Linked DNA regions of Saccharomyces cerevisiae S288C. The gene in region 4 interacts genetically with the main gene of each other region. Each region holds a gene or a part of one and is shown on either strand. Other genes may lie near its edges. The genes, in order: IRA2, SSD1, SCS7 and SWI4.

Evidence for each region.
Region 1: mutations in SWI4 (region 4) and IRA2 together harm fitness more than expected from each alone (negative genetic interaction), as found in Saccharomyces cerevisiae (5 studies listed by BioGRID).
Region 2: mutations in SWI4 (region 4) and SSD1 together harm fitness more than expected from each alone (negative genetic interaction), as found in Saccharomyces cerevisiae (6 studies listed by BioGRID, with this or other methods).
Region 3: mutations in SWI4 (region 4) and SCS7 together harm fitness more than expected from each alone (negative genetic interaction), as found in Saccharomyces cerevisiae (4 studies listed by BioGRID).

The regions. Positions count from the first base shown.
Region 1 is NC_001147.6:169,345-176,641, reverse strand, and holds the start of IRA2 (Ras GTPase activating protein IRA2), read right to left. Parts: upstream 5,573-7,297; coding exon 1-5,572. Other genes in the region: ATG19 (Atg19p), read right to left, coding at 6,668-7,297. UniProt on the Saccharomyces cerevisiae protein: Inhibitory regulator of the Ras-cyclic AMP pathway. Stimulates the GTPase activity of Ras proteins.
Region 2 is NC_001136.10:1,044,361-1,052,890, reverse strand, and holds SSD1 (mRNA-binding translational repressor SSD1), read left to right. Parts: upstream 1-3,498; coding exon 3,499-7,251; downstream 7,252-8,530. Other genes in the region: HDA2 (Hda2p), read left to right, coding at 1-268; sphinganine-1-phosphate aldolase DPL1, read left to right, coding at 663-2,432; SRP101 (signal recognition particle receptor subunit alpha), read left to right, coding at 7,880-8,530. UniProt on the Saccharomyces cerevisiae protein: Can suppress the lethality due to deletion of SIT4, and partially the defects due to BCY1 disruption. Is implicated in the control of the cell cycle G1 phase.
Region 3 is NC_001145.3:808,352-814,535, forward strand, and holds SCS7 (fatty acid alpha-hydroxylase), read right to left. Parts: upstream 2,427-6,184; coding exon 1,272-2,426; downstream 1-1,271. Other genes in the region: YMR272W-B (uncharacterized protein), read left to right, coding at 2,738-2,845; ZDS1 (Zds1p), read right to left, coding at 2,882-5,629; RCE1 (CAAX prenyl protease), read right to left, coding at 6,013-6,184. UniProt on the Saccharomyces cerevisiae protein: Ceramide hydroxylase involved in the hydroxylation of sphingolipid-associated very long chain fatty acids. Postulated to hydroxylate the very long chain fatty acid of dihydroceramides and phytoceramides at C-2.
Region 4 is NC_001137.3:380,935-389,226, forward strand, and holds SWI4 (SBF complex DNA-binding subunit SWI4), read right to left. Parts: upstream 4,943-8,292; coding exon 1,661-4,942; downstream 1-1,660. Other genes in the region: karyopherin KAP123, read right to left, coding at 1-1,169; U6 snRNA complex subunit LSM4, read left to right, coding at 6,298-6,861; TMN3 (Tmn3p), read right to left, coding at 6,998-8,292. UniProt on the Saccharomyces cerevisiae protein: Part of a complex involved in cell-cycle-dependent transcription. SWI4 and SWI6 are required for formation of the cell-cycle box factor-DNA complex. The repeated element in the upstream region of HO (5'-CACGAAAA-3') is called the cell cycle box (CCB).

The DNA.
Region 1 (7,297 bases), on a different chromosome or scaffold from region 4:
AAGCAGGACAAAAAAACCGTAAAAACACGAAAGACCCAGCGGCGATAATTGCGTGATCCGGAAATTTTTCACACGCAACTTTATAAATGTTTTGGCAAATATAAAATAAAGGAGGGGGAAAATAAGATACGGAGTTGGATATGGATTCCAATAATTCATTCATGTATTTAACGAAGAGCTCTATTTGACGTTCAGCATCTGAATCTTCCGGTTTTAGTTTCTCAATTTCAAAAAAATCTCTGTTCTGGATAATTTTTTTTAGTAATGGTTGCAAAGTGCGAATCAAATATTCGTTACCCTTGGACCTGGCTAGCATAGATAATGATCTCGTAGCACAGCTATTTCTTCTAAGGATATCCGTAGGTCTGGAAGATTTTTCAATTTCATTTTTAATCAACTGTGCCACTACAATGTGGGTGGCATTCCTCGTTTCAAATGCATTTATTAAGCCAGCAGCATAAGCATCAATATCGCTAGCGGGACAAACCGCTGCTCCAAAGGACGATAGCTGGGGATGTTCAATCGTATATCGCAAAAATTTGTCTGCTGCCTCTAATTTTCCAAGGTCAGTTTTAGCCGTGTATGTCCGATAGTTCGTAACGATATTAATGAAGACCTCCAAAAATGCATTCCTAATGTTTCGATTTCCGGAATAGCCCATCGGTAAGGTGAACTGCAAACTCGCATCAACATTGGTGTTTGAAAGATTTGTTAATGAAAGTATTACATTGTCGTTGAGGACACTCATTTTGTGCCTCAAGAATACTGGGTAATTGTCACGATCACTACTTTTTTCAAGGCCTTTCATTAAGATGTTGAAATAAAACCCAAATATCACAGACCTAGATCGAGATAGTTCGGGATCTGACGCGGCAGGTGGAATCTCTAAGAAAGTATGTCTCGTGAGGTACGCAATAGCGGTTGAAGCTTCGATTGCCGTATCTATGTATAGAATATCCATGTCTCTTTTTACCAAATCCATTTCTTTTAGAGGTTTTGACAAGTTTTCGAAATCGTACTCTCTCGCAATACTCACTTGAAACCAATCAGTGATTTGCCTCAACCATTTATTTTTAACGTGAAAATGATTTTTGACACCTAAATTAACCTCTGAGTGCTGCAAGGCACTGAACATTTTGGTCATTTGAATAATTGCCTTGAGATATTTTGGACAATAGGCTGGTATTTTTTTTATTTCATCTGTCAATAAATCAATAAGATCTACAATCTCTGTGGAAAAAAGCATCATTACATAATTGTCATCATCACGACCTAGGATTGTCCGCAGCATTTTGATTATTTGTTCTAATAAAACATAGGAACTTTCATTTTCTGGTATTGATAAGTCTGAACAAGCAAGTTCTTTTAACTTGAGCCTCAAATTATTAAAAAGTAAGTTAAAAGACAAAGGATGCAGTTCTACACTTAGAATATCTCTTGAATTTTCTCTCGTTAATAAATCCGGATAGTTTAACCATTGGCATTGTTTTGAGATAAAAGAGTCTATATTTTTTTTCAATTCTGAAACGGTGTCGAGTAGGTATGGATACATTTCTTGCAATATCTTTTTATTGATGAATAGGATACCCGACAAAGAGGCTAAAATACCCGCGAAATTTCTGAAGTCGTTCCGTTCTTGTTTTTCTAAACTTTTACTGTGTGTGTAAGTATGCCACTTCTTATAGATCATCCTCATAGAATCAAGTAAGATAGCGTTAGGAATAGTAGCAAATCGTAAAATATTATTTCTTGTCCTCCTTTGGAAAGCAATTGAACCAGAAGTTGTGTAGTTGTCATGACACATCGCTTCTACAAACTCAATATTATGAACCCAAGTTTTATCAGCATCATCAATATTCCTCTCATGAAAATTGATTGCAGAAAGATACTCTGTGTAAGCAATCTTTAAAGTCTTTTCAATTTTTTGTTGACTAGAGTATAATGAAACAAATAGGGCCCTACCAACAGTCCCCATAATCAGCGGAAAGGTGAGTTTTTCAGAATCACTTATGTATTCCATGTGGTGTGAGGCCTCCGCGATCCCTGCTAAATGTGATCTAACCTTCATAAACTTGACAGTTATATCCAAGAGAATTTGACGCTTTTCATTATTAATTTTCAAATCGAAAAGGCCCATTGCAAATAATGTTACAGTGTAACTGCAAAGAAGATGATACCCTTCAATACTGATATTCTCATCTGATTCACCATAAGTAATAACATTCGATAATAAGGTATCCATGAATGATTGAGCAGTATTCTGTAAATCTACATCCGGACTTACGATGGCGACGAAAATCGGTTTCATAATATTTCTAAAATCCTGCGAAACCCATTGTAAATTCGAGTTTATATTGTGAGGAATGATGAAGTAACTATTCGGTCTCTTAAAAATACTGAAAATATTAATCATTATTCTTCTAGCATCTTGAAGAGTTGCTTCATTCAAATCTTTTGGTATCAAATGTTCTTGAATGTAATTATTTGTTGATTTCATGAATTTTCCTAAACTTTCATCGGAATAACGCCTCGTTCTTATTTTCTGCAAAGGCGATCGAATTCCGAATGCTGCCGACGATAATGGAGTAGAATTTGTTATGGCCATTGGTGTGGCACTGATGCTTTCCGTTTGCGGACGTTGTACTGGTGAAGATTTTTCCGTTCCTGGAGGTGAAGTCAATGTAGTCGGTATTTTATTCCTTATAATACTAGATGGCCCACCTAAAGCATGACGCGCTCTTGGGGCCACAAGATGTGACAAGTATGGATCAGAAGACAAGTTCTTTGGTGAACTGTTTAATGAATTAACGTTGTCAGAATTTCTTGAAGTACTTGAACCAACTAAAGACAGGGTGTTCATTGGACATATATCAGTATCCAGTCCCAGCGGAGAAACTGGTGTCATTGAACTTTGAGATGTAGATCCTGATCTTGACCGGGTTGTCGAACATAAAGAGGGTGAGCTCCCCTTGAAATGTTTCTTCGTACCATACTCATTGATAATTGTACCGTCAAGAATGGAAGCAACTATGTCGGTGATTTGCTCATCAAAATACGGAAATTCTTGTAAAAGAATATCTGCTATAATGGAGAATAATGTTTTGAAAAATTTAGAAATTTTAACCGCAATTGCCTTCCGCAATTCCTTCTTACTTGGTATGTCGAAGAATATCCTGAATCCTTCAGTATAAAGGCATAGCTTCTGCATGTTTAAATTGTTGGCCATTGTATCGATGCTCAGACGTGCCAGTAATAATTCATGATCGAATTGAATAGCTGAAGAGAAGAATATTAATTGTAATTGAACAAACGTGGTGGAGTTTTTTTTCAAACAAACCATCAAACTGTTATTTATTTTTGAATTCCAGTCTTGACCGACGCTTAAATTTGTCCCCATTATGGGGATGAGTCTCTTGGCAAAAAGTACTGAGGGTAAGTTTCTATCCACGAGAAAGACCGCAGAAGTCATTGTAAAGAATGATAGTAAGGCCCTCATTGTATCTAAGAGGGCAACATCTGATACAGCTTGATTCCCATTTAAATTTCTTAGCAACATCTTCACAAATTTTACAGTTTTTTTGGTTGAGGAAGGTAAAGAAGTTAATTTCTTTAAGCCTTGTGTAATATGTTTTATACCCGAAGTCTTTTCGGAACCTGTCTCGTGTGCAGTATTATTGAAAGAACTTGTTCTTTCTTTTGGACGATGCATAGTACAATCAGGAATATATTTGAATGATGTAGCGTTTAATTCATTAAAAAGGTCAATATCGAACATTGTCAAAGTAGTTAAAAACTTCAGTACGGATGTGTGTGGTAGTACCTCAGTATCATCAAAGTGCGTGTATAACTCCAAAACATTATCCAAACGAGTGACAGACAAAAAATGTTCGTCATAATCCTTACCAGTATGGCCAGTTTTGTGTGCATCGTATGAAGCGCGACTTTGTTGCTCTGCTGTGTATCCAGTTGGGGTGGAATTCGATGGTGAAGCAGCTGCGGCGGCGGCTGCAGCTGCTGAGTTCAACCGCTGTTGCAATTGTGTTGTTGGAGTTGGAGTTTGAGATAATAATGAAGATGCACTAATAGTGATGTTAGACATCGTGGGAGTATCTGGTAAGGAAGGGTCATATTCTCCTGGTTGAGTGTGAGTAGAGAAATCAGTTGTTGTTGAATTAGACGTTGAAGATGACAGTGAAGTAGAGGATTGAGAGTTTGTAGTCCATGAAGAATGTAGTTTTCTTTCAGACTGCTGTTGAATGTATGACTGGTGGTGAGAAAGCTGACGACTTAAGGATTTTGCTATTATGTTTTGATTGTTGTTATCCGATGATGATGAGCTAGGTGGTGACGATGGCGAGGAGGACGAAGGGGAAGATGAGCCTTGATGAGCATTTTGATTGGTGGTTATCATGCTATTCACATTAAAAGTCGAATGGATCTCCTCGAAAAGTGTATGGTTTAACGTGTTTAAGGATTTCGAGTGTTCATTGTTATTATCTTTTAATAAGTTGAAGAGTTCATAATATTCCGCAGGCCTAGCCATTATCCAAAACATTATTGCTTTGGCGCTGTAATGCAAAAGTAGGCAATGATAAATCGTTTTCCTTAACGTCACCGATAAGTTTTTGATGAGTTCCAAGTATTTCTTAAAATTATGCTTGCTTAAATAGATGAAGCTGAAAAGATCAAAGTGGGGCACTATGCTGTTATAAACGGAAGATGGCAAAGAGTGTGAATGGGAGTGTGAATGCGTGTGTGTCTGTGTTACGGGCACTTGCACACTCTTTCTGATAAATTCAAAATACTCGGACGGATTGGAAGCCGCTACAAATCGGAGAATATGGCCTAGAGTAGAGTCAATCATTTTACAATGAGAAGGATGGTTGTGCCTTGTCAGATAGGATTTGTGGCGGGGAAGAATCGAGGAACTCAAAGTCGTTAGAATGTTTCCATGAACATGACTGATCATATTTTGTAAAATTTGCAAAGTTCTTGTATTGAACTTCAACTTCGCGCAACTCTCAAGCAATTTCGATGCCAGTTCCGGTATCAGTGCCTGAGGTTTGCTCTGGTGGAAAAAGTGTTTGTTGCCATTGGAATGAGTCGACGAGTAGTCGGGCAGAATACTGTTAAGCTTTGGTCTGTACTTCTGTTCTTGGTCATGTTCTACGTGAGTCGAAATGTCGTTGTAATGAAGGCTTTCTTGATTTTGCCAATTATACTCTAGCGCATCACTTAACAATCTTAGTATAATCAGTATTGATTCAATAACGTCACTGCTACCCTTATCTGAAATGATTTCGTGCCCTTGAAGAAGCGATTCTATCAACTCCAAGGTGCCTTCCACCATAGCATTTGCATCTCGGGAAACGGTAACGTTAATGAGCACAGATCTGCATGAAATGAATGAGGAATACTCTTCCACTTCCGAATAGGTACTTAGATTAGACTCCACCGGAAGGATCGGGAGAATTCTTTCAAAAAGAATATGATTAACCAACGTCCGAGTCATGCGGGATGACTTGGAATCGGTCCCGTGTTCTTTCTTCTTATTCTTAGTGGGCTGGGACATGCTTCTCCCTGAAGAAAGATAATGTATACAGTTTAGTTGATATCAAAAAATGGTGTAACGTTGGGGGAAAAGTAACACTAAAGGAGAAAAGCAAAACGAATAACAGAGGACAATGCTATATGCTAGTGTGCTAAAATGTGGTTAAATGTTTGCTACAATTGGTGAAAAAGTACTTAAGCCTTGTTCTGATTTTGTTTTCGCTTTTTCGGTCTTTTGTTTCCCAGGAGCTCTAGACAATGAAGTAAGCGGAGAGAATGTAGGGCAATAGGATGTGCTTAACTCCCCGGTTATATGTAGAATAGATAATCGTTGGGCAAAACTTTTCACAAGAAGACACAGCAAAGCTTGGGGTTTTCAAAAAGGCGTGCGAGCTTTATTGTGATGGAAATTTTCGTTTCATCAAGGGAGCGTTCTAGAAGAAACGAGAGCTCTACGAACATTTCTGCGCCGCGGATTGATTCACCGATCGGGTGACCCTTTTTGAGGAGCTACTTTGGGTTGGAATCACACTAAAATGTGTAAGGCGGTCAGTATAGCAAAGAACTTGGGGTGGGACGCTGGTGCCGTGCAAGAAAGGCTACGTGAACCTCGTACTAGTCCAAGATATTGGCTCGATGCATTAATGGCAGACTCTTATCTCGCTAAGATGTTTGAAGGCACATCGGTTCTAGAGGTCCAAGTCCCAACCCAAGTCAAGGCCAAGCAAGGCAAGGGGATTTAGAATAGTTCTATCATTCTGCGGGGAATGAGCGGAAGAGTAAGAGTATTGGTTCTGTTGTGGATGACACTTACAAGGGTAACTACTGTTTTTCTTGTTTTCTTATTTTCTTGTTTCCCTGCTTTTCTCTGGGATCTGTGCGGAAGGCGTCATGTCCCTGCTCGTCCCTGATTGTCCGTACTTTTCTGGTTAGCCGTATATCGTTTGAAAGTAGATGGCATGTATGAAGAGCATGATGCTAGGTGATAAGTAATGAGAGGCCTTAGGAAGTAAAGAGTTTCGAAAAGGGTTATTTTATATTTATTGTATTTATTATATTTAATATATTTATGTGTATGTGAAAAGGTACTCATTGCTGTATAAAAATAGAGTTTGACCTAGAGTTCTTCCCAAGTCAGGGCTTTTTCATTGTCGTCACCGTCATAAGAGAGTGAAATGGATGTACTGATGATACTAGAGTCATCCAGTTCTGGTAACGTATCGATTTGAAAGGAGTAAAATGGCTCTTGGGATGCCTGTAAACTTTCTGCAGATAATCTTGAAGGTGGCCTTAAGTTAATCATTGGAGAAGAGCCATACTTGCCCAAGAAGATCACTTCTCCATACTGATTTTCAATCTCGATAGTGGAGCCGGCCTCTAAATCAAGTGCGTATGGAAAGTATCGGTATTCCTTGTACTCCTTTATTCCTATTTCATGAGGACCCATGTCAATAATTTGCGTGGTTGGCTTATCGCCAGCGTCAGTAAACTTCAGTTTGCAGTTGCCTGCCAAAACAGAGTTTGTGTTGTTAAACAACTGGAAATACAATGAATTGTCCCTTTGGTTCATTGTGATTTGCAATGAGCGCTCATTTGGGGGTTCCACTTCTATTTTAGTTTCCTTTTTCGAATGGTCAGAGGCGATTTCCGTCTTACTGTCACATTCTTGTGATAACCTCTCATAGTCATGGTAACGTTGAAAAACGTCCTCAAGTTGTTTGACTGTTTTCAACTCTGTGAAAAAGTT
Region 2 (8,530 bases), on a different chromosome or scaffold from region 4:
AATTTTGCAAGAATCAATGAAGTCTTTAGAAAACGAAGTTAATGGTCCACTGACTAAATTTTCCACAGAAAGCTTGAAGAAGGAGCTGGAACGTTTACAGAATGATTTTCAGTCGCTTAAAGCAAGAAACAAATTCTTAAAGAATTACATAACCTTAATGAACCGACAGTACGACTTAAAAAACAAAAACAACGTCCAGGTGGAAAAAGCTGCCGCAAATGGTACACGGTTTAGATCAACAAGATCCAATACCCCTAATTACACATGAATGTGACGTTTCCTAAAAGAAGTAGCCTGTATAATATAGAGAGATTTTATATACTTTCTTAATGAATTAGACTGTTTCTACAAGTATTTGACACTGGAAAAAAAGAGAAAGTACATAGAGATTGGCCAAATATTTAAATCTACACAGTTGCCTATCGTTTATCGCCTTATTCTTCAGAAACATTTCATCAACTACTCTGGTGCATTATTTCATGTTAGTTACCATATATACCGGCCGGCCGCATCGGGGTTTTTTGATTGAAAAAATTGGTATATTTTCAGTACACATATAAATAAAACCCTCAATTTGCCTCTCCAACCGTTATAACTATTCCAGATCCTCTTTACCGAGCAAGTAGGCTAGCTTCTGTAAAGGGATTTTTCCATCTAATACAATGAGTGGAGTATCAAATAAAACAGTATCAATTAATGGTTGGTATGGCATGCCAATTCATTTACTAAGGGAAGAAGGCGACTTTGCCCAGTTTATGATTCTAACCATCAACGAATTAAAAATAGCCATACATGGTTACCTCAGAAATACCCCATGGTACAACATGTTGAAGGATTATTTGTTTGTGATCTTTTGTTACAAGCTAATAAGTAATTTTTTTTATCTGTTGAAAGTTTATGGGCCGGTGAGGTTAGCAGTGAGAACATACGAGCATAGTTCCAGAAGATTGTTTCGTTGGTTATTGGACTCACCATTTTTGAGGGGTACCGTAGAAAAGGAAGTCACAAAGGTCAAACAATCGATCGAAGACGAACTAATTAGATCGGACTCTCAGTTAATGAATTTCCCACAGTTGCCATCCAATGGGATACCTCAGGATGATGTTATTGAAGAGCTAAATAAATTGAACGACTTGATACCACATACCCAATGGAAGGAAGGAAAGGTCTCTGGTGCCGTTTACCACGGTGGTGATGATTTGATCCACTTACAAACAATCGCATACGAAAAATATTGCGTTGCCAATCAATTACATCCCGATGTCTTTCCTGCCGTACGTAAAATGGAATCCGAAGTGGTTTCTATGGTTTTAAGAATGTTTAATGCCCCTTCTGATACAGGTTGTGGTACCACAACTTCAGGTGGTACAGAATCCTTGCTTTTAGCATGTCTGAGCGCTAAAATGTATGCCCTTCATCATCGTGGAATCACCGAACCAGAAATAATTGCTCCCGTAACTGCACATGCTGGGTTTGACAAAGCTGCTTATTACTTTGGCATGAAGCTACGCCACGTGGAGCTAGATCCAACGACATATCAAGTGGACCTGGGAAAAGTGAAAAAATTCATCAATAAGAACACAATTTTACTGGTCGGTTCCGCTCCAAACTTTCCTCATGGTATTGCCGATGATATTGAAGGATTGGGTAAAATAGCACAAAAATATAAACTTCCTTTACACGTCGACAGTTGTCTAGGTTCCTTTATTGTTTCATTTATGGAAAAGGCTGGTTACAAAAATCTGCCATTACTTGACTTTAGAGTCCCGGGAGTCACCTCAATATCATGTGACACTCATAAATATGGATTTGCACCAAAAGGCTCGTCAGTTATAATGTATAGAAACAGCGACTTACGAATGCATCAGTATTACGTAAATCCTGCTTGGACTGGCGGGTTATATGGCTCTCCTACATTAGCAGGGTCCAGGCCTGGTGCTATTGTCGTAGGTTGTTGGGCCACTATGGTCAACATGGGTGAAAATGGGTACATTGAGTCGTGCCAAGAAATAGTCGGTGCAGCAATGAAGTTTAAAAAATACATCCAGGAAAACATTCCAGACCTGAATATAATGGGCAACCCTAGATATTCAGTCATTTCATTTTCTTCAAAGACCTTGAACATACACGAACTATCTGACAGGTTGTCCAAGAAAGGCTGGCATTTCAATGCCCTACAAAAGCCGGTTGCACTACACATGGCCTTCACGAGATTGAGCGCTCATGTTGTGGATGAGATCTGCGACATTTTACGTACTACCGTGCAAGAGTTGAAGAGCGAATCAAATTCTAAACCATCCCCAGACGGAACTAGCGCTCTATATGGTGTCGCCGGGAGCGTTAAAACTGCTGGCGTTGCAGACAAATTGATTGTGGGATTCCTAGACGCATTATACAAGTTGGGTCCAGGAGAGGATACCGCCACCAAGTAGCTATATAGAATCAAATCTCATACATAATTTAAAGAACGAGAGTGCAATGTGATGATTGTGATTCCTGATCCTATGTCACGGACGACGACTTGTATCACCTTGAATTTTCTGACCAAAGGGGCCGAGTCGCTTCACGAGGGGATGAGAAAGGAAAAGAAGGGAAAACTAAACTTATATAACGCAGGTGTGTCTTTCTACCATTGCCATCAAGTTATTAAAGGCCACGAACAGGAACGCTAGAGACCTGAGTTTGTCATTTGTTTAGTTCAAGGATTAAATAAACAATCCTTCTACAAATAAGTCCTTTCTTTCACCATCGTCTTAAGACCACTGCCTCCAACGAAAACTAACCTAAAAGAGTTTAGATCACGAGTATTTTCGCTCTTTCCCTCCTTCCCCTGGTTTTTTCTCGTTAGTTCTTTTCATTTAAAAACTCTTCTCTTGTCAAGAATTTAAAAGACGAAGAGTCCAACACCGACTGATTTTCTAACAGCAAAGGAACGAAGTTTTGCCGTGCAAACAATAATTTCTAAATTATAATTTTGAGCCTAGCTGAGAAATAGGAGAGATTATATTTTAGAAAGGTAAGAAGTTTTTCTGTCATTCCTTTTAGAATATTTGCTACGTTCTAACATTTTTTGTTACTCAAGCGCATTTTCTGCAACTTCCCTTATAAGCTATTTCCTTTTTTTGGGACCGATCCTTTCTTCTGTCTTTGGTAACCTAAAAACCGGAATAGTCAAAGTTATCTGCATAGTCTTCTTGCCAGGCTTATTTTCGCCATACCATTTTTCTGGTACCCTAAACATTTTGGTCTTATTTTAGAACAGCTGGTGCCTCGTTTTTCCGCATTAGGCGCACTTTTTTCATAGCCACTATTCTAAAAGAAACAACTTTTTTTCAAAGGGAAATCTAAGTTGCCTGCACGAAGAATAAGACAAGGGTTCATAAACGTATAGTATTTGCCAAGTTCCATCTTTTTCTTTGTCACTTTAATATCGCAAAACAGAACACCAAAAACCTTTCAGCGCAAAGATTTGGCCCAATTATTCCATCTTTATACACTATGTCTAAAAATAGCAACGTTAACAACAATAGATCCCAAGAGCCAAATAACATGTTTGTGCAAACCACAGGAGGTGGTAAAAACGCCCCAAAGCAGATTCATGTTGCACACAGACGTTCCCAAAGTGAGTTGACAAATTTGATGATTGAACAATTCACTTTGCAGAAGCAGTTGGAGCAAGTTCAAGCACAGCAGCAACAGTTGATGGCTCAGCAACAGCAATTGGCACAACAGACAGGACAATACCTGTCAGGAAATTCTGGCTCTAACAATCATTTCACGCCTCAACCGCCTCACCCTCATTACAACTCAAACGGTAATTCACCTGGTATGAGTGCAGGTGGCAGCAGAAGTAGAACTCACTCCAGGAACAACTCCGGATATTATCATAATTCATATGATAACAATAACAATAGCAATAATCCTGGGTCTAACTCACACAGAAAGACGAGTTCACAATCCAGCATATATGGCCATTCCAGAAGACATTCTTTAGGTCTAAATGAAGCGAAAAAGGCTGCTGCGGAAGAACAAGCTAAAAGAATATCTGGGGGTGAAGCAGGCGTAACTGTGAAGATAGATTCTGTTCAAGCTGATAGTGGCTCAAATTCTACTACAGAACAATCTGATTTTAAATTTCCACCACCACCAAATGCTCATCAGGGCCATCGTCGCGCAACTTCAAACCTATCACCTCCCTCTTTCAAATTTCCTCCAAACTCTCACGGGGATAATGACGATGAATTCATAGCAACCTCTTCAACGCACCGCCGTTCAAAGACAAGAAACAATGAATATTCTCCAGGCATTAATTCCAACTGGAGAAACCAATCACAGCAACCTCAACAGCAGCTTTCTCCATTCCGCCACAGAGGATCTAATTCAAGGGATTACAATTCCTTCAATACCTTAGAACCTCCTGCGATATTTCAGCAGGGACACAAACATCGTGCCTCTAATTCATCAGTTCATAGTTTCAGTTCACAAGGTAATAATAACGGAGGTGGACGTAAGTCCCTATTTGCACCCTACCTTCCCCAAGCCAACATTCCAGAGCTAATCCAAGAAGGGAGACTAGTAGCTGGTATATTAAGAGTTAATAAAAAGAATAGATCGGATGCCTGGGTCTCTACAGATGGCGCTCTTGATGCGGATATTTACATTTGCGGCTCCAAAGATCGTAATAGAGCACTTGAAGGTGATTTAGTCGCGGTAGAACTATTAGTTGTGGACGATGTTTGGGAGTCCAAGAAAGAAAAGGAAGAAAAGAAGAGGAGAAAGGATGCCTCTATGCAACACGATCTAATTCCTTTGAACAGTAGTGACGATTACCACAACGATGCATCTGTTACTGCTGCAACAAGCAACAATTTTCTATCTTCTCCCTCCTCGTCTGATTCGCTAAGCAAGGATGATTTATCCGTCAGAAGAAAGAGGTCATCTACTATCAATAATGATAGTGATTCCTTATCATCTCCTACCAAATCAGGAGTAAGGAGAAGAAGTTCATTGAAACAACGTCCAACTCAAAAGAAAAATGACGATGTTGAAGTTGAAGGTCAGTCATTGTTATTAGTTGAAGAAGAAGAAATCAACGATAAATATAAGCCACTTTACGCAGGCCATGTCGTTGCTGTTTTGGACCGTATCCCTGGTCAGTTATTTAGCGGTACATTAGGTTTGTTGAGACCATCCCAACAAGCTAATAGCGACAATAACAAACCACCACAAAGCCCAAAAATTGCTTGGTTCAAGCCTACTGATAAGAAGGTGCCATTAATTGCAATTCCTACAGAATTAGCTCCAAAGGACTTTGTTGAAAACGCTGATAAATACTCCGAAAAGTTATTCGTTGCCTCTATTAAACGTTGGCCAATCACATCTTTGCATCCATTTGGTATTTTAGTTTCCGAACTTGGAGATATTCACGATCCTGATACTGAAATTGATTCCATTTTAAGGGATAACAATTTTCTTTCGAATGAATATTTGGATCAAAAAAATCCGCAAAAAGAAAAACCAAGTTTTCAGCCGCTACCATTAACGGCTGAAAGTCTAGAATATAGGAGGAATTTTACGGACACTAATGAGTACAATATCTTTGCAATTTCCGAGCTTGGATGGGTGTCTGAATTTGCCTTACATGTCAGGAATAACGGAAATGGTACCCTAGAGCTGGGTTGTCATGTTGTTGATGTGACCAGCCATATTGAAGAAGGCTCCTCTGTTGATAGGCGTGCGAGAAAGAGGTCCTCTGCGGTGTTCATGCCACAAAAACTTGTCAATTTATTACCACAATCGTTCAACGACGAACTGTCGTTGGCCCCTGGCAAGGAATCAGCCACGCTGTCGGTTGTTTACACTCTAGACTCATCTACTTTAAGGATTAAATCTACTTGGGTAGGCGAATCTACAATTTCCCCCTCAAACATCTTGTCTTTAGAACAATTAGACGAAAAATTATCTACTGGAAGTCCCACTAGCTACCTCTCTACTGTACAGGAAATTGCTAGATCATTTTATGCTAGAAGAATAAATGATCCAGAAGCTACATTACTTCCCACCCTGTCCTTATTGGAAAGCTTGGATGACGAAAAAGTTAAGGTTGACTTGAACATCCTGGATAGAACTTTAGGCTTTGTTGTAATTAATGAGATTAAAAGAAAGGTCAACTCCACTGTTGCAGAGAAAATTTACACCAAACTTGGTGATCTAGCTCTTTTGAGAAGGCAGATGCAACCCATTGCAACCAAGATGGCGTCATTTAGAAAGAAAATTCAAAATTTTGGTTACAATTTTGATACCAATACGGCGGATGAATTAATCAAAGGGGTGCTAAAAATTAAAGATGACGATGTTAGAGTCGGAATTGAAATTTTACTGTTTAAAACCATGCCAAGAGCTAGATACTTTATTGCTGGCAAAGTAGACCCGGACCAATATGGGCATTATGCCTTGAACCTACCTATCTACACACATTTCACAGCGCCAATGAGAAGATACGCTGATCATGTCGTTCATAGGCAATTAAAGGCCGTTATCCACGATACTCCATACACCGAAGATATGGAAGCTTTGAAGATTACCTCCGAATATTGTAATTTTAAAAAGGACTGTGCTTATCAAGCACAGGAACAAGCAATTCATCTATTGTTGTGTAAAACAATCAACGACATGGGAAATACTACAGGACAATTATTAACAATGGCTACTGTCTTACAAGTTTACGAGTCCTCCTTTGATGTATTTATTCCAGAATTTGGTATTGAAAAGAGAGTTCATGGAGATCAACTACCTTTGATCAAAGCTGAGTTTGATGGTACCAATCGTGTCTTGGAATTGCATTGGCAGCCCGGCGTAGATAGTGCAACTTTTATACCAGCAGATGAAAAAAATCCAAAATCCTATAGAAATTCCATTAAGAACAAATTCAGATCCACAGCCGCTGAGATTGCGAATATTGAACTAGATAAAGAAGCGGAATCTGAACCATTGATCAGCGATCCATTGAGTAAGGAACTCAGCGATTTGCATCTAACAGTACCAAATTTAAGGCTACCATCTGCAAGCGACAACAAGCAAAATGCTTTAGAAAAATTCATTTCTACTACTGAAACCAGAATTGAAAATGATAACTATATACAAGAAATACATGAATTGCAAAAGATTCCTATTCTATTGAGAGCTGAGGTGGGGATGGCTTTGCCATGTTTAACCGTCCGTGCATTAAATCCATTCATGAAGAGGGTATAATCTCTTCTACCAATATCGTCATTGCTGTTTTTCTTGTTTTTCACTTTCGTTCTTTGGATTGTGCTTCACCCCTCAGTATCCCTTCCCTTTGTTTTTATTTCCTGCGAACATTAACAACTGCATGAATTTTGTACTTCTCCTTTTAATCCACGTTCCGGTAAGGCATCATCCAAATTTTTTTATTCGACCTCGTTAAGTCATATATTTTTTCCCAAAAATACATAAAACAATAATGCAGCCTTCTTTTCAATATTTACAACTTTTCAATTTATATTGTCTTTTGTTATTTATACTCTTATATATTAAATTTATTCCGTTACTAAATACCCTTTTGCTGTACAAATATCATCAAAGAGAAGTACTGAAAGCTTACTTTTTATGCGCTGGGTAATTTTTCCGGAAACAATAACGAAATCATCGTCGAGCAATTTTGCTCGTACTTCAGAAACTACTGCGTAAACATTTGAGGTCGTACAATAAGTAGATAGAAATAAATAAACCAATTTTTCGTCAGCGTTTAATCTGTAGCCAAAGATTTGTGGTATTCTCACAGTTTGAATAATATTCAGCTACTTCATCAAGTAGTTTTTTTCAATAGGAGATTCACGGTTCAATAAGTGCATTGATTATGTTCGACCAATTAGCAGTCTTTACCCCTCAAGGTCAAGTACTTTACCAATATAACTGTTTAGGAAAAAAGTTTTCTGAAATACAAATTAACAGCTTTATATCCCAGCTGATTACTTCCCCAGTAACTAGAAAAGAAAGTGTTGCAAACGCAAATACAGACGGATTTGATTTCAATCTTTTAACAATCAACAGCGAACACAAAAATTCTCCTTCATTTAATGCACTATTTTATTTGAATAAGCAACCAGAATTGTATTTCGTAGTGACTTTTGCCGAGCAGACTTTAGAGCTTAATCAAGAAACTCAACAAACACTTGCACTGGTGTTAAAACTCTGGAACTCATTGCATTTAAGTGAATCCATTCTAAAAAATCGTCAGGGCCAAAACGAAAAGAACAAGCATAACTACGTCGATATTCTTCAGGGAATTGAAGACGACCTGAAGAAATTTGAGCAATATTTTAGGATAAAATATGAAGAGTCAATAAAACAAGACCATATCAATCCAGATAATTTTACCAAAAATGGATCAGTACCCCAATCGCATAATAAAAATACCAAGAAAAAATTGAGGGATACAAAAGGTAAGAAGCAATCTACAGGAAATGTTGGTAGTGGGAGAAAGTGGGGCCGTGATGGTGGCATGCTT
Region 3 (6,184 bases), on a different chromosome or scaffold from region 4:
CGGTTTTATGGAACCTTTTTAAGAAAGATGGTCCCTATTTTAACAATATCGCAAGCAATGGATCTTGTACTGGTACGGAAAACCGTATATACTAACAAATCTTAGGTTTCTACGTCTGACTAAAGAAAGAATTGTGAGTGAGGTTTATAGTAGAAGCTCTCCTCATGACTTTGGGCTATGTAAATTGTTGATAATTAGAGGTAAAAAATAGTATTAATGAAGAAATAATTACTGATCTTCTTATACTAAATAAGAGAGGTATATAAAACACACGCCGATTGGTCATATTAATCATGACCAATATAATAGTGATTCCGGTAGTTACTATACATTTATGTGACGACTCATATTCCTCATATATGTACCTACCATAACATGTTCAACTAATAGGTCTTTAACACAGCTTCAGTATTGTCTGAGCTTCTCGTTTAACATTCCTTCTGCAATAGGTGCAATCACACTTAAACGTATACGAGGTGTACATTAATATACGATGTAAGCATTAGATTGTTACCATAGCAACTCATGTCACTATTAATTACTCTCGTTCCAACATAAATGCAATTGATGATTTGCGCAACGCAGATACAGATTTTACTTTATTCTTCGTGCCTAAAATGGACCATCGTTTCACTTACTAGCCGTTGTTTACTAAGATATAGTTGTATACGGTGTGGAGGATGATAAGATCATTGGACCAATATAACTATATAAATGTCGGCACCAGTTTAATGGAACCTCGAATGCAATTACTGATAACGGAATGGATTAAGAAATGATTAGGTATGAGGTACTCTTATAGTATGTAGAATTTCTGATTTGCTTATGTGTTCATTTATTCTCGAGAAGAACCCTTAGTATATTCTGTGTCCTAATATTACAAAAAGTCAATGAGAGTCTAGGGACTATCAGATAACTTCACTGTGCTCATCTTGATTCCTGTTCTAACGACAGTAACACAGGATACGGTTAGTATTTTTTTGCCAACCTGATCTGTGAAAGAAAAATGTACCTGTCAATTCGGTTCTTTTTTGAGGCCGCTTTTTCGTATAGTCGTCATCGATTGGATATTCGTTTAAGAAATAACGTGCTTGTTCATCGATTTCATCTATGATTCCATTCCATGTGTATGTATATATACGTAGTTACATATAATAATATAAATAAAGATTTGAAATAAATATGTCGCAGAAAAGAACTTTGCTCAAGATTTCATTGCTCGTAATGTTGTTTTTCCTAGGTTGACAATTTTGGACGAGGCTGACCAATAATTATTCATATTTCATTTTGGACAATGGGGCATCGGGGCCTAAGTAGGTGCCAAAAACTTCGTCCCAAAACCAGGATGTGACGCCAAATCCCAGTTGGTAGTTTTTATAATGATGTTCCAGGTGATATTTTTTCAACTTACGCATGAAGGGAGGCAATTTAGAGTGGTGCAAGAAGAAATGACATTCGTCATAACAGACATAACCGAAAAGACCGCCAGCAAAACCAGCGTAAGCCCAATAAAGTGGCAGCAGAGCAAATACCAACTTGTAAAATGGAGCACAAAGGATGACGAACAGAGTAGGTGGCATAACTAAACGGTACTTGTCCATGGGCAAGTAATGATGGCAACCATGTAGTAGAAAATGTGTGGCGAATGCGATGTTACTTTCAGGTAACCAATCATCGAAATGAAATAGGAAACGGTGAAGACCGTATTCAATCAAAGTCCAAACAAAGACACCGACACAGAACAAGAAACATGCAAATAGCTGGTTCATGTTCTTCAAAGCAACACCCATGTGGTACACAACTACAGGCAACCAAGCAACTGGAACAACCCACCAAGCTGTTTTAGTTAATGGTTCCAAGAAATTACCAAATAGCGGGGCAGACCCCTTACCGTAATGTCTTGGTCTATGGATTTGGTCAACGTAAAAATCTTTCTTGAAATCACTACGCAGAATCTGCATCAGCAAAGGACGGTTCAGATCCAAAAATTTATGCTTTTTGTAGTCGTTACTGTAGTCCGTAGCAATACTTAGTTTCTCCTCGGCGGGCAACTCCTTTACAAAAGTAGTGGAGTCAAACTCAGTACCGTCAGCTGACAACTGCACTTCAACCTTATGGTTCTTGTTAGTCAACAATCTCGCTGCCTCTTCGTCAGTTGCCAAGTAACCAATCAAATATTCGTCCTCAAGGATTTCATACGCGGAGTCGCTGTGTTCATGCACATCTGAGTCTTTCATGATCTCAGTAATGTCCTTACCAGCATAGTCCAAGATGGACTCGTCACCACCAGGGTGTTCGCTCAAAAACCTGGTCACGTCATAAATCTTTCTGTTTTGATAAGTGACCCAGCAGTCATTGGCAGTATTGTGTTCTTGTACCGTCTTTTTTGAAAACAGTTCCAAAGTCTTGGAAGTATTAGTCGACATCTTCGTACTAGTTTTAGCTTACCACCGCTTTTAGTGCCTGCCACGATAACAATAGAAAAAAAAACTAATCAAAGACAATAGACACAATAGCTTCTACTATCTAATACCTCTGTTCTTATACGGTTCCAAATTGAAAAAAAAATTAACTGCGAAAAGATGTCACACGTCAGTAAATCCGCGCAAAACCCCGTTATATTTCCGACGTCGTGCGGTAGTTTCTGCGCGGAACGGCCCCGCGGAATAGGCACATTTTCTTCCGGCCGCAGAAAGCTCTCTTTATCAAAAGCAAGACTGTTTTCGGCTATTGTATTATGAGAAGTTTGGTGTTTGTCCAACTTTCCCTGTTGTCCTGGGAAATATTCTGTGGGGAACGTAGCTTTGTGAGCATGAAAGCTATCTTTTCGTGTATGTACGTGTGATGTGTATATGTCTATGTATGCAGCGCTGAAGCCTTTTCAGGGTTGTTGTTGTTGTTGTTGTTGTTGTTCTTTGTCGTGGGCTACCTGCTCCATGTACAGAGTGTGATTAACCAAGTTCAGATAAGCATACATGAAGTTACTTAGTAATACCTGCTCGCGCAGTCCCCTCTTCGAATTGCTCAATTTCAAGTGACTCAGCCGGTATATGGCCCTTTCGACGTTAATTGGTAGACGGTGGTCGAACATGATAACCGTAGACACTGTCAGCAAAGGCAGTGGGAACCCAAAGGCACTGTCTGTGAATTGAACCGGGGAGTTTGGTTTGTCAGGTTTTTTGACGTCTGCAAATGTAAGCTTTCTTGGGGGCAATATGGAGGTATGTTTCAATGGTGGTGCCGCTGGAGCCTGAGTTTGAGCTGAAGCTTCAACTGGGGCTGAAGTTTGGACTGGGGCTGAATTTTGGACTGGGGCTGAAGCTTGAACTGGGACTGAAGTTTGGACTTGTTCTTGAGCTGGAGCTTGTAGTTGAGCTTTTTGCTCATCGGTATTCTCCTTTTGGACGTGTTTGGAGTGTTGTTGGTTGGAAATTTCTGTCGTATTGCTCCTCTTCTTGTTCTTTTTCTTTGCCTCCTCTTCTTCTCTGTCTCTAGAGTTACTTTTGGTACTACTTACACTAACGGCCGGCTGTAGTTGGGGCAAGCTCTCGGAATCGCTTTCCTCTTTCTTTTCTATCTCTATTGCGCCTTCCAATTGTGGTTGTAATGGTATCTGCTGCTGCGGCTGAGAATCTTTAAGGGTTTTTACGCTTATTTTTTGGGAACCATGACGGCTGTGATGGTGACGGTGAGGACGAGGGCGATTGCGCAACACAATGGGTTCAACCGGCTCCCTTCCACTTTTGTTACCAAGCTTTTTGCTTTTCCTCACGCGAACGTGCACGGCATCGTTATTTGGTATTGATGGTGACGATGATGGTGACGACGAGGGTGATGATGATGCATCATGCTTGTGGTGTGGCTTTCTTCTGAATAGGTTCGCAAAAGTTTTCTCGATTTTCTGTCTTGTCTGTGATGTGGCGGTGGAAGTACTTGAATTGTTCATTTCTTCTTTATTTGACACCTCCGTCTTCTCACCGCCATTAAATAGAGAAATATAATGTTTTTTGGAATTGTCGAGCTCCATTCTTTGTGAATCCACGTTTTCTTCATTTTCATCGTCCCCTTGGTTTTCTTCGTTATCGTCTTCTCTGCTCATTTTATTGTTCAACCATGTCCATCCGTTTCTTCGACGATGTCGCTTCGTTTCTTTGTTGTCATCCGTTGCGCTTGGCTTTACCATGTCTGTTGTTCCCTCTCTTAACTCTAAGTCTTGTTCTACTGTGTCATTTCGAACCTTGACGGGTACCTCTTCGGCTTCTTTCTCTATTCCCATTTCTTGTTCCCACTCGCCACTAGACTGTCTGTAATGATTATAAATGTCTTGAAAATCACCAATTGACCCAGGCGAACTCATATTCTCAGAATCCTCATCTTGCTGTCTAAAAGGGGATTTGTGCGGATCTATTTCGACCTTTATTGTATTCTTGGTCAATTTTAGACGTTCTTCGTCGTCGTTTTTCATTTCATCCACACTTTGTTCTACTTCTTTTTCTTGCTCTTGTGACCTGATTCGATAAGTGTTGAATCTACTCCTTCTCAGTGACGATCGTTCAGGCCATGTCATGGTATTATTGATGGGCATATTGGAGGCAAATTCACCATCATCCAAAGTATTCGCTTGTGAAGTTGAAAAACCAATATCTCCTTCATCATAATGCCCTTCCGGTTGTGGTTGATCTTTTTTATCTGAATATGAACCAGCCATACTAAGAGTTCTGGCTAATGTAATGGCATCATTGTCGGTTAGTCCTGCACTATTTGAGATCTTTGTCAGTTCTTCAGTTATATCTCTTAACGACACTGGTCTCTCTTTTATTTTGGAGATTCTTTCTTCGACTTTATTTACTGTTTCAGAGGCACTGTCTCCCTTATTATCGTCATCTTCGTTATCATCAAACTCTGTATATGACCTCCGCAATGTTGAAGGCCTTCGTATTAGTGACGCGTTTCCATGCCTTGACAGCCCCCTGTTCAAGTTGATAGTGTTGTTCTCCTTATTTTCATATGATTGTGATTCTTTATCCTCCCCATTATCCTCAATATCGTTATTTTCATTGCTATTCCCATCATTATCTTCACCATTGTCGCTTAGTTGTATATTTTGTAAAGTATCTTGTACAAGCTCTAGGAAATTATCAGGCTTAACGTTAGGGTGTTGATTGGCGGGAACCCATAATAAGTTTTTCTTTAATACGTTAGCATTTAATTTCCTGGATGGAGAGTGAACACCTTTTTTTATACCTAAGTAGTTACCTTGTTTAGTCTTATTGGAGGATTCTATCCCTGAGTTACCCCTCCCATGCAAGTTCTCTAGCGGAGTTGGATCGCTATATCGTGTGTTATTAACGGTGGTTGTGTCACTTGGCATTGACGCAGAACTGGATGTCGTGCCAGACCATGATCGTCTCCCACTAGATTCCCCACCGAATTTTATATCTAATTCTGGATCAATAAGTAAATCCATTGACCCAATCGACAATCTTTTTAGGTTTTTTACGCTGCGGATTTCATTGTCAAGGGACTGTGCAGCAATCAAAACTTCAGACTTCCGTTTATCCCTTTGACTAGCGATCGCCTTATCGCTTGATGTAGTACGCAGCATGCTCTCGTTATCTCTATTGGACATTATAAAAGACAGCTAAATTCTCCTTTGAATTGAAAATATGTAACCCACAAAACAAACCAAAACTAACTAAGACCTTAAATTCTAGGAGACCAAATAAAAACCTTAAAAAAAGAAAAACGTCGAAACCTATTAGATGCCACCTTCTCTCTACTCTTAGATCTGACAACTTCAATACCACTGACACGAACGACTTGTTATTGAGTCCGTAATACAAAGTATAGGTACTTTATAGTCCTCCAAATTCTTTCACCAAAACACCAAAACTCGATTTTTTCACTCTTCCGTAACAAAAGCCCGGTCGCTCGATAGAATTCCATAATAGTAGTGAAAAAAGGTTATAGTACATAGGAAATTTTAAACGGTATACAAGTACGTAAAAAAGGCTAAAGGGTTATTCTATAACCAGGAGTTCCTACCAGAGTTTGTAAGGTATCCTTCAGGGATATTAATCCAAGGACCAGCAGTGCGAAGTAGCACTTATTCCAGATTGAGACCAATTTGGAAATGCGTCCAGCTTTCTTGTCTACTACTGTGAAATGTAAATTCAATCTTGAA
Region 4 (8,292 bases):
TAGTCTGGAGAACCAGTAACAGCAACGGAAATAGCTAAAAGAATAGCTCTTCTCTCAAAAACGTTTGCGGATTGCAACATAGCTGGAATGTGTTCAACAATAACGGAAGCAACCTGGGATGGTGGCAGTTCAGAGGAAGCGAAAGCTAACAGTCTAATAGCAGAAGAAGAGGGTGTATTTTCCTCATTTTCGCCTGTTTCGTCTTCGTTGTTTAATTCATCGTCAACATCGATCTCTTCACAAGCCACCTTCAAAGCTGCAACAGTAATTTCTGGGCCCAATTTGCTTTGAGAAACCTTCGATTTTCTGTAGGACAATGAAGATATGATGAATTGAAGAGCAAAAACTCGAACATCTTCGTCAATCTCACTGTTAACAGCAATTTGTAAAGACAGCTTAATCAAATCCACAATAAAGTTTCCTGTTAATTGGGAGTCCAATAGCAGGAAATCGTTTAAACAGTTAAAGATTAATTTAGCGTTCATGGTGTCGTCGGCCTTGATAACTGCGTCTAAAACGTTAACCACAGATGGAATTGAGGCGGCGAATTTTTGAGCTTGAACAGGGTTGATGGTTTCTTGTTCTTCAATCAAAGCAGAAACGTGGTTCAAAGCCTGGGCAGATAATGATCTGATCTCCAAAGAAGATGGATCATTAATTGTCTGAGAGAACAAAGCCAAAAAGTCATCGATGTGGCCAGATAGAGAAGAGGTGAAATCTTCCAACAGAGAAAACAAAATAAAAATGGCAGTTTGTCTTGTTTGAACGTCTTCACCAGAAGCAGTTTGGATTAGGTTAGGGACTAAATCTGGCCATTTGTTACCATCTAGCTCTTCAGTACCAATAGAAGCAATTACTCGAGCGTTGGAATGACGAACATTTTCTTTTGGCTCACTAAATGCTGTTTGTAAAAGAGATGTTTTGATGGAGGCTCTAGTGGATTCATCAATGGCGTTCCAGTGCTTGGAAACCAACTTTCTAGCTTCAACACCAGCTAGTTGTTTCAACGAATCATCGGAGCCGTTCTGCAAAATATGAATCAAAGCTGGCAAAGTTGTAGGCTGGGTATAAAATTGAGTTTGCAAAGTTTTTGTAGCCTCCTTCAAGCCTACACCAGAAGTGATAGCGTGCAAAGTTTGCTCAAGTTGACTTAGAAATTGTTGATCCATTATACTACTTGATACTAAAAAAGTGTTTTTCGTCCCTCAGTTTTTATGCTGCTAAGGCAGGATTTTGGTAATATACAGAAACGAGAAGAAGGATCCTTGCGGGGTCTTGCCTATTCTTTTTTGTTGACTAATAAAATCAATACCAAACCTGACAACAAATAAAATGAAGGATCTATGGATAAGTGGATGTTTCTATTTTTTTTTTTTTTTTTTTTTTTTTCGACCTCATCTCATCGCGCTTTCCATTCATCATATTGTACGAAAACAAAGCACAATCGTAATAAAAGACATCCTGATAATTAGCAAAGGGCTAACCATAATAGTCTAAGTTTAGTAGTTCAAATGTTTGTTGACATGCACTTGAAGCAACTCAAGCGCAATGAGAAAAGTGACTATACAAATATGTAAAAAATTGCTACCAAAAAAAAAAAAAAAAAATTTAAAAACTCTGATAATATAGTAAAAATTATTGGTACATTGTGAATTAAAATTTATGCGTTTGCCCTCAAATCCTTTTCTATATCGTCCAATTTTGAGTCAATGTTCTCAATTGTGATACCAATCAAGTTTCTGTATTTATCTAACTTCACCGATGAATTAATTTTGCTTTTAGCTTCGCTTATTTTCAATGTTGTCATCCTTCTTTTAAACTGTAGAATAGTTAGTTCCGTTGCTAGTCTCAACGTCTCATTTACATCATATGATTCTTGTACAGTATTAGAAAATTTGGCGTCCGCTTTGGTGTTTTTAGGAGAAGAAGTTTCCGACGTTGACTTTGGAATTGGCTCTTCATCTTCCTGTTTTTCTGGATGTGAACTTGAGTTAGTATTCATATCAACCTTTGATTCCTCATCCTGGACAATTGTAGCCAGTTTTAAAGCTTGAGATTTTTCCAAGCTTTGAATAAAATTTTGCTTTTCAGAATTCAACTTTGACGATGTTTCTTTAATCCTTGATTGTAAATCTGATATCGAATTTATGGGAGTTTTGTTTGATACGGAATCGAAAGCATCCTCTATTTGATGTGCTATTGTAATCAATCTCTTCTTATTGTTAGAAATAGAGGATTCGGTTTCTACTACTTCGTTGTCCAGATTTTTAATTTCTTCACCCATTATTCTTTGTAGAGAAGAAACTTTTGTATTTAATTTGTTGATCTGCTGCGAAAGCGGTTTTGAGTACTTTCCTAGTGGAGACATCTGTATCGGCAGAAGGGAAGAAGGCGATTCCAATGATGGCATGGCAGTTTTCACACTATTCAAGGGATCCTTTTTCTTTTCAACTTGATTCTCATTATCCTTTGCCTTTTCTTTTTCATCTGATATTGACTGTGATCTTCTTCTGTATAAAATGGGAGAGTTTTCAAGAATTTTGGACGGCGTAGACTTTATATCTTTAATGACAGACGACGTCACGAAAGAATTAATATTCGACAAGTCTTCCATAATAGTGTTCATATTTGTAGAATTTGGCTGGTTGGAATGCAGGTATTGACTTTCGTTGACTTCAGAATCTGTTTTAGCTATATTGACATCTGCAGTAGAATCTTCTTTATCAGGATGTTGAGTTTTTATAATTTTTGGAATTTTGACATTGTTTTGTGGTTGCTGTTGCTGTTGCTGTTGTTGGTAATAATTCTTTTGAGGAAGGTTTCGAGCTAACTTTCGATCTGCCTTGGTGTTGTTGTTTCTGCTGTTTGACCCGCCAGCCGGAGTATTAAACTTATTCATTATTGACGCAGGCGATTCGTTATCTAGATTCAATATATCTGTTGACGCACCAAGATATACCAGTCTGTTGTAAACCTCGAAGTTCAAGTTTAAAGCAGATAAATGCAGTGGAGTGTTCCCTATATTATCTTGGTAGTTCAAACATATCTTCAACAAATTGTAGTCCTGCTGACCCAAGCTCAATATTATCGAATCCATATAAGATTTTATTATCATTGGATTTTTGGACTTATTAACGCTCAATTCAATTAAATAATGAAATGGCAATCTTCCATTTACGTCGGGAGTTATAAGACATATTTTTAAGATGGATATTATTTCATCGAAAGCATTCTCCTTGTAGCAATTGTTGTAGAAAATTGATTTTGTGATGCAATTAAAACCGAGCTTATTACACTGTAATGCATTAGCATTTAAGGTAATTAGCATTTTTATCAAAGGAATATTCGCCATAGCTGTAGCCCAATGGAGTGGAGTGTGACCTTGATCATCAATTTCAAAATTTATGTTAAAATTTTTGGGCGCCGGATATAAAGTAGCCAACAACGCTTGATCTACATCAGAAGACCTTTCCGATGATAGTATTGTTAATATCGTCTGCTTGTATTCTTGATCTGTCATTTTGTTTTCCAACTTGTTTTGAGATGAAGTATTTCCTGCGCTGAACGGTGTCATAGATCGTGAAGACATATTCATACTGTTATCATTTTCATTTGATGAAAATACTTCAATGGAGGAGCCATTGGATGCTACAGTGTTGTTGTTATTGTTGCTGCCGTTACTGTCACAGTACTCATTATGGTGATCATTTGGATTTTGAAAGGATTGCCATAATAAGGGTTGCTTCATTAATTTGAAATGCCTTTGTATTTTTTCTTGCTGGTTGTAAAATTGTTGTTCATTAGATTGATTCAGCTTTTTCCTCCTTTTTTTACTATTGCCATTTGTAATGGAGTCCATCATGGAATGATTGAAGTTATTCGTCAAATATTCATGATGATGTTGTTGTTGTTGTTGGCTTTGCATAGGTCCGTCTGGAACTATGATCAAGTTATTATTATTGCCATTATTATTGTTATTACTGCTGTTAATGACATTGTCGATGTTATGGCTGTAACTATTACTGTCATTATTATTAGGGTTATTCAGAGCAACGTTCTTGTTTTGTAAATTTGTCGGAATTGGAAAAAATTGAAGAGGTTTCTGAGTTGCCGAATAATTATTATTGAAAGAGTTTTCATGAATGGATTTTTGTTGTTGAATAATAGTAGATTGATTGCTGTTGTTACTAATATTATTTATTAAATTGTGTCTTGTGTCATTGTTGAAATTCATCGTGGTGTGGTTATCATTATTGTTCATTATATTCATTGATGAATTTACTTGGAACTGTTGAGGAGTTTGGAAAACAAGGTTTTGTAAAGGACTTGGATTCGGCTGGTTGATCGATGCATTTTTCTTGCCTTTCTTATTCGCAGCTGTAGTTGTAGCCGATGTTGATGAACTACTGTTCTTTTTTCTTGGTGTTTTATTGTAGCTCGATGGAGAAGTTATCTTCGTTCCCGGCGAAGTCTTCCTCAATATACTATTTTTGCTTCTCTTTGGTGGAGGGTTATTTGGATCGAATTGAAAAGTTAAGATGGAGTTGACCACAGGGTCAATTATTTCGTACTTATTGACTAAAAACTTCGCTGAATCCAGTGGGATCCAAGTACCTTGAAACCTACCATACCCACCTTGAACTTTTTCATGTTGCATATCATTTGATTCCTTTTCCAGTATTTTAGTTCTTTTCGTCTTCGAAAATTGAGCTATTTTGAAAACCTGGGTAATATTAATCCAATCATCTTTAGTTCTTCTCATCACTATTTTAGTTTCAAACCCACGTATATAGCATTCGTATACATCGGTTTCTGAATACGTAGCTATTTCAATCACTGGATGGTTTGAATGAGGCGCCAAAAGAACTGATTTTGATATTGGCGTGATGTTCTGGTGATTGGTATTATCTTTTTGGTTTGATATCAAAACATCAAATGGCATGATTTCTCGAATAAATCAACCTTTTAGAACTACGCAAGAGGGACAGAAGGGAAATGAGAAAGAAAGAAGAGTTAATTTTCGGCAAAGAGCAATTATTGTTGACAATATATCAAATAACGTGAAATAATGTACCTTTTTTTCAAAGGGTAAGTGGAGGAAGAATCGTTTGAAAAAGCGACGACCAATGCTAGATGTGATTCTGCTGTAACAACAATTAATAGTAAAAATAACACAATACACTAAAGAGTTTCTTTTTTTATTATCTCGAAAAAAAAAAAAGCTTCCAGTTGAATTTAGCAGCAAATATTAGTCAATTAGTTGATATGCTAAACCAATGCTAAAGGATGGCAATAACTATAATATCTTTTGTGCGTTTTTCACGTTGACGTGCTTCTTAGTCCTTGTTCCTCTTTTTTTTTTGTTAGGTTAACCATTTATTTCCTAAACGGGAAATAAGCAGGCGGGGAGCTGAATATAATTAACTTTCGCGTCATGGTTAGTGACGCGTCACTTCAAACGCGGGTAACAAAATCAAGTTGTTTTTAGCCGCCGAAGGTAATTGTATCCATAATGAAGGCTAGATTAAACCAATAATTTGTAGTGACAAAATTTATAGTCAGTAGCAGGTTCTCTTTAAATTGAGAGATTTCGACAGCCTTTTACTAGATGTCTAGTTTAGTAAAACTAATTTTCGTATGCTGCTAAACGACCTAAGATCCGCAGTCACCTATCGTTTAAAGTACGCAGTCACAATGCGGTTGAAATGTAATGTACTTATATTACCTCCTTCTTAAGTAACATTTCATTTTTTCCGCCACCGTACACAGAGTAATTGCTTCGTTCGTTATCTACTTGTACTGAAGTCCCTCTAAACCTACTGCCTTTTATTTTTAGGCTCTAAAATAACCATGGACAACGTGAATTGGGTAGCATCTTTTTTTTAATAGATAGTTTATTATGTATAACAATAATTTAAAGATATTCATAGTGATAAGTAATTTTAAATGAGTTTAAAGTACTACTTTTCCTTTACCGCCAGTTTCCTGTACTATGAAAAAGGCAAATTCCGCATTGTAGCCGCCCACACGCATTTTGATCATCAATTACGAAATTTGCCGCACACGTGTCACGTGATAAGCACTCTTACTATCATGTTTTACGGAGTAGCAATGATGTTCAATTATTGCAGCTTTCTTTCGTGAAATCGTAGTATCATAGACCTTCCTAATGATGGAAGCGGTAAAGAAGGAAATCGTAAAAGTAAATTAACGAAGTAGTATTAGTAAAACAGAGTTGAAAAACTGATAAATCTTCAACTCGAACTGAAAAGAAACACAATAGAATATTTTTTCTCAATGCTACCTTTATATCTTTTAACAAATGCGAAGGGACAACAAATGCAAATAGAATTGAAAAACGGTGAAATTATACAAGGGATATTGACCAACGTAGATAACTGGATGAACCTTACTTTATCTAATGTAACCGAATATAGTGAAGAAAGCGCAATTAATTCAGAAGACAATGCTGAGAGCAGTAAAGCCGTAAAATTGAACGAAATTTATATTAGAGGGACTTTTATCAAGTTTATCAAATTGCAAGATAATATAATTGACAAGGTCAAGCAGCAAATTAACTCCAACAATAACTCTAATAGTAACGGCCCTGGGCATAAAAGATACTACAACAATAGGGATTCAAACAACAATAGAGGTAACTACAACAGAAGAAATAATAATAACGGCAACAGCAACCGCCGTCCATACTCTCAAAACCGTCAATACAACAACAGCAACAGCAGTAACATTAACAACAGTATCAACAGTATCAATAGCAACAACCAAAATATGAACAATGGTTTAGGTGGGTCCGTCCAACATCATTTTAACAGCTCTTCTCCACAAAAGGTCGAATTTTAAACAAATTTTGTATTATAATAATTATGTACATATATAAATATATTGGTACATATGTACTGTGTGTGTATGTGAATGTTGATTACCGTTTTCTTTAAAAAAAGCTTTTCTTCTTTTTATTACCGAGCTTTCCTTTAGTTTACAGGTTGACTTTCTGGTGGTATATTTTATTTATAAACCATGAAGCCGTTAAGTAACTTAATGCGCCAAGCCCTAAACTGCACATTACGTTGAAGATTAAACTATAACAAATGGAAATTAAGATAGATGAAAACCCATGGATGTTTAGCACTGCGAAAATGTAATATAGCGAATACAATTCCATATATACACCACCGCTAAATCCCATTTCAAAGCACTTCCATCTCCAATTGTTGCGAACCACCTTATCTTCGAAGCAAAATCTCATTAATAAATAACTTCCAATAATTGATATCTCCATAGTTAACACGCATAATAGTATGATACTCAAAAAAAGGAATCCGTAAAAATAATAAAATGTAGTTTTCTCCAACCAGAGAGATTTGTAAACGTATTGCATTTCCACGTAAATTACTAACAAGGGGAAAATACCACATAAATAAATGCCGCAGTAAACCAACGGGTTGAACTTGGCTCGTGATTTAGGTACAAATAATCCATTGCCATCGCTATTGCTTTCATCTTTAGTAATTCCACTCAACCAATATTGAGGCAAAGGTATATTATTAGCTACAATACCACCAAACAAGCTGAGTGGTATACAGACGATGAAATAAATGCTCATGAAAAACACAATAGTCTTGAATGGTAATGCACTTGTAGAATCATGTGCCCAAACAATACTATTTAATAAAAATGTGCTCACCATTACAATGCCAGGTAAGCTGGACCCACAAAGTATCGTAAAAATGGGACTAAACTTCTTGTAGTCTTTGAGGTATCTGTTATCGTCAAGGTAATTGGCCTTGGTTCTTTTCGTTTTCGTTACCATACTGAGTCTTGTCCCTACGAATGATGCCATGAATGCTCCAAGTACGAAAAATAAAATGGCCATAGTTAGCACACTGTTTCTTACATTATGCAATTTGTTCATTGAACATGATATCGTTAAGGATCCAATTATGGTAAATAAAAATTGCACCCCAAATGAGACCAGAAGGATTAAAACTTTTAAACCAAATAAATTTGGTCTACCATTTTGTATCCAGTCTTTCGCCACCGTGTAAACGGAGTATTTACCATACTTGTCATCGTCCAGGTCATCCTCTGTTTCAATTCCTTCTATATTTATCATGTATTTGGGGGACTTTGAATTACTTTTATCCGTGTACATGACTCGTACGTAAATAATAAGCGTGATAAATGAGATGGACAATACAATTCCCACTGAATTGGCTAAGCTCATCCAATGAAACTGAATGCTCTGTTCGTCAGATAACTCACCTGCGTTCA